2 linked regions of the Schizosaccharomyces pombe genome follow. The protein of the gene in region 2 interacts with the protein of the main gene of each other region in a pairwise test. Each region holds a gene or a part of one and is shown on either strand. Other genes may lie near its edges. The genes, in order: uaf2 and prp45.

Region 1 (3,526 bases), on a different chromosome or scaffold from region 2:
GTATGATTTTGAAACATTTTCCAACAGTTACTCCTCAACTATTATTGATTTTCCTTTAGGAATCTTCACTACTAATGCAAGTTCTCGAGATAATTTTCTAAAACATTCAAGTTTGTTTCAAGTAATGAACACAGCCATTTTCACCATTGATTGTCTGAATCCTTTGGAAGGTCTTGATGGAATATCTTCCATTTTACAATTGATGAATGGCTTATCTATTTCAAGCTATATGTTTGCTATCACTAAGATGGATGAAATTGAGTGGGATGAAAATAAATTCATTAATCTTGTTAACTCGATTCAGAGCTTTCTGAAAGAAAGTTGCGGAATAATTGAGAAATCAAAATTCATTCCGATAAGCGGACTAAAAGGAACCAATCTTACATCCATTAGTCAAGAAAAATTATCCCAGTGGTATAAATCTGATACATTGCTTGGCAAAATTGATAAAGAAGCAGATACAAATCATGGCACATGGAATTTTCTTCTTAATCTACCTCTCTCTTTAACAATTTCACACATTACTCCTTTGCCAGAAAATCAATCACATATTTACTGTAGCATCCATTCAGGCATGCTTCAGGATTCGCAAAAGCTTTATGTAGGCACAGGGAGATTAGAAACACAAATCACAGGTACGGAAGGTGTTCAATTATTTTATGTTAATCAAAAAAGGACTGAGCAGTGATGAAAATCCCAAAGGGTTTAATGTTGCTGGGGATATGATTCAAGCCAAAATCCCTACATTACCCAATTTATGGTAAGTTCTTTGCAATTCTTGTATTTCTAATAAATAGTCCTGGGATTTTAATTGCTGATAGTATCGATGCCTTTACTTCTTCGAAAACTGCTTACGTTAATGCAACTTGGTTTCACGGTTCTCTTGAAAAAGGAAAGTCGATGCATGTAATAGCCCTATTCGGCTGTCACGCAGTCCTTACCAAACTGTATTGCTTTACAGACAGTCAAGAAAAAGCTCCTAACGCAATCGGAAACGATCTTGAAAGAAATCGAACCTCACTTGTGAAAATTGAATTAGAGAATGCTTTCCCTCTCGTAAAAGAAAGCTACATTAACACCTTAAGCCGCGTTTTATTCGTTTCAGAAAAATGGAATAGCTTAATTGCGTTTGGAACAGTACTATCTCTGCATGACTGAATCCCTAACTTACGTATTATACTCAACTCCATATTAATTTTGCATTCGAAAAAATTTTCCGTCCTTTTTAAAGAAATTCTCTATAGATTGTTTTAAATATTGTAAAACTACCGATGTTGTTCATTTGCGTACATCTCAGGCATCGTGACATTTGGAAACAATTTGTTCTCGAGTAAATTTCCTGAGCAAAAAAAAGGAATGTGCTGTGTTAAGAATAATTTATCTTTTTTTCTTTTGAATCGTTGGCACATCAGTCTAATAACAGTAACTACTTATTCTTGATATTTTCCAAATTCGAATATAATTAGGGAAATACAAGGGAATATCTGTATATCGGATAGTTGTAAGCTACGCAGTTTGGTATCTGATTTAAGGATACGTAGAACTGTGGTGAGTTTTCCTTGTGATCTATTATATTACAATACACAGGTTATATAAGTAGCAACTGAGTATAGGTATTGTATTAACTGGGTTATAATGTTACCTATCACTAATATAGCTCATAACTGAACTGAGGAACGAGGTTCAGCAGTAGCTCTATTTATAGTATTCAGATAATATAGATCTTAATAGATTATCATTAAGATCAATCTCCATATCGTATCATACATGGTACGATATATAATTAGAACATGTGACATATAGTGATACGCAACGTAGTGTATCATAGCGTAGTGTAGTACTGCTGACAATAGTGTGCAAGAATAATTTAGAAAATTTGCGTAACTTAACGAGATGTTGCACGCCACCATTATAAGACTAGAATCATGTTGGATCACTTTATTTCATAACCACCATATAAAAATGGCAAGTCATTTGGCAAGTATTTATGGTACTGAGCAAGATAAAGTCAATTGCTCATTCTATTATAAAATAGGAGCTTGTAGACATGGGGAACGCTGCTCTCGTAAACATGTCAAACCAAATTTTAGTCAAACGATCTTATGTCCCAACATGTATAAAAACCCAATTCATGAACCAAATGGCAAAAAGTTCACGCAGCGTGAACTTGCAGAACAATTTGATGCATTCTACGAGGACATGTTTTGTGAGTTTTCAAAATACGGTGAAGTTGAACAATTAGTCGTCTGTGACAATGTTGGAGATCACTTAGTCGGAAATGTTTATGTAAGATTCAAGTATGAAGAGTCTGCCCAAAATGCTATTGATGATTTAAATTCCCGATGGTATTCCCAAAGACCAGTCTACGCCGAGTTATCTCCTGTAACTGATTTTCGCGAGGCATGTTGCCGGCAACACGAAACTTCGGAATGTCAGCGGGGTGGCCTTTGTAATTTTATGCATGCCAAAAAACCAAGTCCTCAGCTTTTACGCGATTTGGTACTAGCACAAAGAAAGTATTTGGCCTTAAATGCAGCAGAAGAAATGAAAAAGGAGCCCAATAGTGATTCCACGAATCGATGGGTCAGTGTAACTGCTGAACGCAAAAATTAAATAGCAACTTATGGAATGTATTTGTTTTGGATTCTGGTTTGCTTTTGTACGGTTTTACTTCGTTTATTATGATTAATCTCTGGCTATAGTTTGTTGTGATTTAGGTTATTTAAATAGATGTTGCATTCTTTTATTGTTTACTAATAAACTTGATCTTTGTACAACTGTACTCATAGACGTTTTAAATTTTGTGTCCAATGTGCCTATGGCTGATTACAAGCTAAAGGAGATCGATTAGAAACATATGAAACGATCAAACATTTCGCAAAACTTGCACAGCAATTCTTAAAAACGAAGGTGTTATTGGTAGAAGCTGTGTACGATATAAGAAAAAAAAAACAAAAAAAAATAAATAGAACCCGTATTTAAGCCAAAATTGTTCAGTTGTTGTATGTTACGAAAAAATAAGTTTCAAAAATTAAAAAAATTAAAACTGCTGAATATAACATTTATATGTCTTAATTACTTTTTTGGTTTTGACGGCGAGCACGGACAGCTTCAGCAAGATCGTCTAGCATTGGAGCAGTTTGTTCCCAGCTAACACAAGCATCAGTGATACTGACACCGTACTTGAGAGTATCCTTAACGCCAGGACGGATTGGAGCATCTTGACGACCTTCATTGATATGAGATTCAATCATAACACCAACAATGGAAGAGTCGCCATTTCTGATTTGTTCGGCGATGCTCTTGGAGACCTTTGGTTGGTTCAAATGATTCTTGCTTGAGTTGCCATGAGAGCAATCGATCATGATACGAGGAGGAAGGTTGGCCTTCTCAAGATCTTTGCGAACGGCGGCAACGTGCTCAGCATCATAGTTAGGACCCTTCTTACCACCACGCAAAATGATGAAGGTATCCTTGTTGCCCCTGGTCATGGTAATAGCGGCGAGACCTTGTTTAGTAACTCCTA
Region 2 (4,795 bases):
CTGGTAAAGTGAAAGTATAGGTTGTAGCTATGGTTCCGCTATCAATTGTCGTGCGTATAGTGCTATGGTTCGCAACTGAACTAGAAGACTTTGAGGAAGGATAAATGGTTGTGGTGTATTCAGAAGTTCCTTCTGAAAAAATCGTAATATAATCGGGACAAGTGTACAAGGAAGAGGAGGAGGTTTGAGATATAGTCCGCTTAGCAAGTCCAATTGATACACGAGGTTCACTAAGAACCACCGTAAAAATGCTTAAAAAAAGGAAGACTAGAGTGGAAAAACGAAAAGAAAACATGAACGACTTAGATTATTAACAAATTAAACGCGGGCTTTGTAAGATTTGAAATGAGTGACTAGAAAAGAGGGACTAGGCGGAATTAAAAAAAAACAAAAATAAAAAAACTTCAAAAATTAAGTAGTCCGCCTCTCGCATCAGATAGTTTTCGCTCAAAAATTGGAAACCAAATATTGTACAGAACAAACGCAGAAAGTCAAAAAGAAGTAGAGACGAAACCTGATTCAATCGAATAACACAGGCTGGTCTTATCGATCAAATTAAACGAAACCGCTCTCTATATGACAACTTTAACCGTGAGAGCAGTCAAAGTACGTTTCTTCTACGAGTGTTTCTTATTGAAAGTATAAAGTATTCTGGGTAAACAGCAAACTGTGGGATGAATAACCAGCATCGTGAAAGTGGCCAGTTTGGGGAGTTTTTCATAAACTTAGCGTATATGCCGGTAACCATGTTATAAACAGGCACATTACTTGACGGGAAATCGTTCCACGAGTCCCCAAGTGAAAGAAATGTAAATATAATAAGCGAAATTGTCGTGGGCATCAGTACTATACAAAAGTTGAGGTTTTAGCTCAGACAACTTTTTACCTACTAAACCAAACCTGGTTATGAGCAACAGACCCTTATTATAACATTAGCAATCAACAACAAAAATTTTTATAGTATTGATTTTTGATATCTTGCGTTCGTTCCGCTTTATCGGAAAGACTTTGGCAATTTTACCGATTCTCTAGAATCATGTAAAGTGACGAAAACAGAAGGCAGAAAGTCCAACCAAATATGGGCAAAAAAAACAACCACTTCAATAAATTGTTCCAGTTAACAGCAGTTTAGTTGTGTTCAAGTCAATTACCAGCGTTTCGCGTGAAACGTTACAGAAGTGTAAATAATGAAATACTGTTGCTTTCTCTTTGACTCTCATTCTTACACAAGGTCACTTTGCATAGTAGACCGTTGAAAAAGTAAAAAGGAATAGAGGAGAAAACAAGATTTGATTAATTTTTAACCACACCCAACGTATCCGCAAAATCTCATTGATTCAGTAACATTGACTATATGGTTCTTTCGGTAAGTTTGACTCGTTATTAAATAAAAAAAATAGAGGCAAATTGTTTGAATTATGTTTGCTATCAAATGATATCCATTGAGTTAAAAAGTACGCGATTTGATAGTCTCATGAAGACACACATAAAGAGAGAAAAATCCATCAACTCCACTTAAATTTAAAAAAAGGTGAGGTACATATAGAAACTTTAGTACAATTCGTATTGATCGCCTAAATCAATATTTTTGAAGTATTGAAAGTTCAAACATGCCTTACAGCTCATTTCTCATTACTTTGTAAGGTAGCTGGCTAATGACAACTATATATAGGCATTGAGCCATAAGTATGCTAACTTTCACTATTCATCGCTTGGCAAATCTTTTTCTTTATTAAATGTATCTCCTATAAACGTGGCACTACTTTTTTGAAAGTTATAAAGCACGTTGGGAGCTAATTTCAACTTTATAAACTTCGCAAAAAGTGAAAGAAAACACAAAGGTATAGATAGTTACAAGCCGCATTGCTAAGTTGATCTGATAATTCTTAACATCTAACGTAATCGAGTGTGTCGGAATAGTATTTATGAAAACTGTGAGATATCCCACTGAAAATGATTTATGTTGTCAAAAGCATCGTTAATACACTTAAGAATTACGCATTTCCTCGTGTGCCTTATTCGCAATAATTCTACTGTGTTGCTCACACTAATGCTAACAAGTACGGAATCCTAACTTAGGTGACCTAGCGTAATACTAGCTTCATTTACCAGTTGTTGTAATGCGTGCATTGATTTTCTTTCATACATTCTTGCAAGTAAATTTCCAAGTAATTTGAGGATTTATTTATTAAATTATTTCTCAAAGCTGCGAGAGCTTTTGGATTCATTCGAACAGAATTCATATGTCCATTATATCCATACAACTCGTACTCAACACCACTTCACACATCTGAGTGGAAAGTTGTTTATTATTTTCCAAAAATGGCCCTTTTATCCGAAGAACTTTCTAGGTAAACTTATATTTTTTTCTCAAATTCACTAACAACGCCGCAGTATACTTCCAAATCCTGATTTCGACGATGAAGAGGAAGATTATGTGGAGAGGGAAACATCACATGCAGATGAAAGACAAATTGGTGTCAAATTTCACATTCCTCCCTATGGACAAAGAAAGGGATGGTTTCCTTCTTCACCTGAAGACTTTGGCGATGGTGGAGCTTTTCCCGAAATCCATGTAGCACAATATCCTTTGGATATGGGCAGAAAAAGGTCAGCTAAATCTGCTGGTAATACATTGGCTCTACAGGTCACTTCTTCGGGCGCTGTTGACTATAATGCCATTGCTCGACAAGGTCACGAACATGGAGAGTTGGTACAGGCAAGCTTTCGAGATTTGATCCCCTTACGTGCACGACTAGGTGTGGGAGAAATTTCGTTAGAGAAACCGTCTGACGAGCAAAAGCAAGAAGTAGCGAATAAAACTAAGCTTGCCTTACAAAAAATACTTTCCAAACAAATCGCTCAGTCTCAACCTAAAAGTGCTGTGGTACAACAACGTGACGATCCTGTATACATTCGATATACTCCTAGCAATCAAATGGGACAAGCACTTAGCAAACAGAGGATTATCAAAATGGTCACAGCTGAACAGGATCCCATGGAACCACCAAAATTCCGTCACAAAAAGGTTCCTCGTGGACCACCTTCTCCTCCTCCTCCCGTCTTGCATTCTCCTCCACGAAAAGTTTCTGCTCAAGAACAACAAGATTGGCAAATACCTCCGAGTATTTCTAATTGGAAAAATCCGAAAGGCTACACTATTCCATTGGATAAGCGGCTGGCCGCTGATGGTCGTGGTCTTAATGATGTTGAAATCAACGATGGATTTGCCAAATTTTCTGAAGCATTGTACACGGTGGAGCGTCAAGCTCGTGAAGAGGTCCGATATCGTGCCATAATGCGCCAAAAGATGGCTGAAAAGGAAAAGCAGGAAAAGGAGCAACGTTTATTTATGCTTGCTCAAAAAGCAAGGGAAGATCGTATGGGTAGAAATGCGGCTTCTTCGGGTCCTTCACATGCAAAACCCCGCTCTACTTCTGTCTCCTCTGAAGAAAGAAGTCGTTCCAGAGCTGGATCGTTCTCGCATCATTCAGAGTCAGAAAATGAAGATGAGGATTCAGAAGCTTTTCGCCGTCGTCAAGAACTTCGCCGCGAGCGAAGACGCCAAGCTGAAAAGGATCTTCGTCTCAGTCGAATGGGTGCTGAAAAACGTGCTAAGCTTGCTGAAAAAGATCGACCTCGTGATGTCGCTGAAAGGGTTGCTTTAGGACTTTCAAAACCATCAATGTCAAGCGATACAATGATCGATAGTAGATTATTTAATCAGGCTTCTGGCTTAGGATCCGGATTTCAAGACGAAGACAGTTACAATGTGTATGATAAACCGTGGCGGGCGGCACCTTCATCAACGTTATATAGACCGGGTGCTACTTTGTCCCGTCAAGTTGATGCATCTGCAGAATTGGAACGTATTACTAGTGAAAGTCGTTATGATGTACTAGGAAATGCGCATAAAAAGTTCAAAGGATCGGATGAAGTCGTAGAGGTATGTTTCAATATCTTATACTTTTACTTAAATACTAACTTTTCTTAGTCTCGTGCTGGCCCCGTCACTTTCGAGAAAGATATTGCTGATCCTTTTGGTGTAGATACTTTTTTGAATAATGTTTCTTCAAAGAAAACTTAATTCTATTCGATCCTTGACACTGTCAAAGAAAATGTACATTATTGTATGGTTTTATTCATTGGAATATGACTGTCTTAAAAATAAAAAAAAGTACAATTTACGTTTTGTGTTTTTTTTGGATCAAGGCAGTTAATTCAACAGAAGTTCATATTTAGTCTTAAAAATTAATGTTTATTCTTCTAATGATTAAAGAGCTAGTAAATTTGAGCATCGTTTTTATTTGTATTCTTGTTTCAACTCTGGTAAACCAGGATTATGAAAGTATTTTGGTACAAGATGTGAAAAAGAATTAAAAGTCTTCTATGTAGATAATTTAATTTGTATATTTAAAAATTTTTGATGAGGCATATTTATTTATTTATCTGTGCTTTTTATCACTGGACATTCGGTTGTTTGTTTATATTTCGCTGATAAACGCTGTTTGAAACAAACCTGAACCTACTAAAGAGCAAAATACAGATAGTTCGAGAAATAAATTTTTACGATGTCTTTGACTGAAAACCTTCAATTATTATTAAATTTGGATAGTCTACCATCCAAAAGGTATGTTATCGTTACAATCTAGTCATAAATTCATAAATCATTCATTAACAAATATACCACAGAGAAAATTTAATAAAAAGAAAAGAATGTGGTTTAACAATCATGCTTTGCGGAGCCTCAGGTACTGGAAAAACAACGTTCTTCAATACTCTTTTTGCTACTTCT

Evidence for each region.
Region 1: the proteins of prp45 (region 2) and uaf2 interact in a two-hybrid assay, tested with the Schizosaccharomyces pombe proteins (one study listed by BioGRID).

Annotation. Positions count from the first base shown.
Region 1 is NC_003424.3:5,323,649-5,327,174, forward strand, and holds uaf2 (U2 auxiliary factor small subunit Uaf2), read left to right. Parts: upstream 1-1,945; 5' UTR 1,946-1,962; coding exon 1,963-2,613; 3' UTR 2,614-2,787; downstream 2,788-3,526. Other genes in the region: ski7 (ski complex-interacting GTPase), read left to right, coding at 1-635, 676-760, 798-1,158; SPOM_SPAP8A3.07C (phospho-2-dehydro-3-deoxyheptonate aldolase), read right to left, coding at 3,072-3,526.
Region 2 is NC_003421.2:1,500,370-1,505,164, forward strand, and holds prp45 (Prp19 complex subunit Prp45), read left to right. Parts: upstream 1-2,273; 5' UTR 2,274-2,322; coding exon 2,323-2,351; exon of another isoform or gene 2,352-2,394; coding exon 2,395-3,946; intron 3,947-3,994; coding exon 3,995-4,087; 3' UTR 4,088-4,295; downstream 4,296-4,795. Other genes in the region: SPOM_SPCC188.14 (uncharacterized protein), read right to left, coding at 602-841; septin Spn6, read left to right, coding at 4,572-4,630, 4,693-4,795. UniProt on the Schizosaccharomyces pombe protein: Involved in pre-mRNA splicing.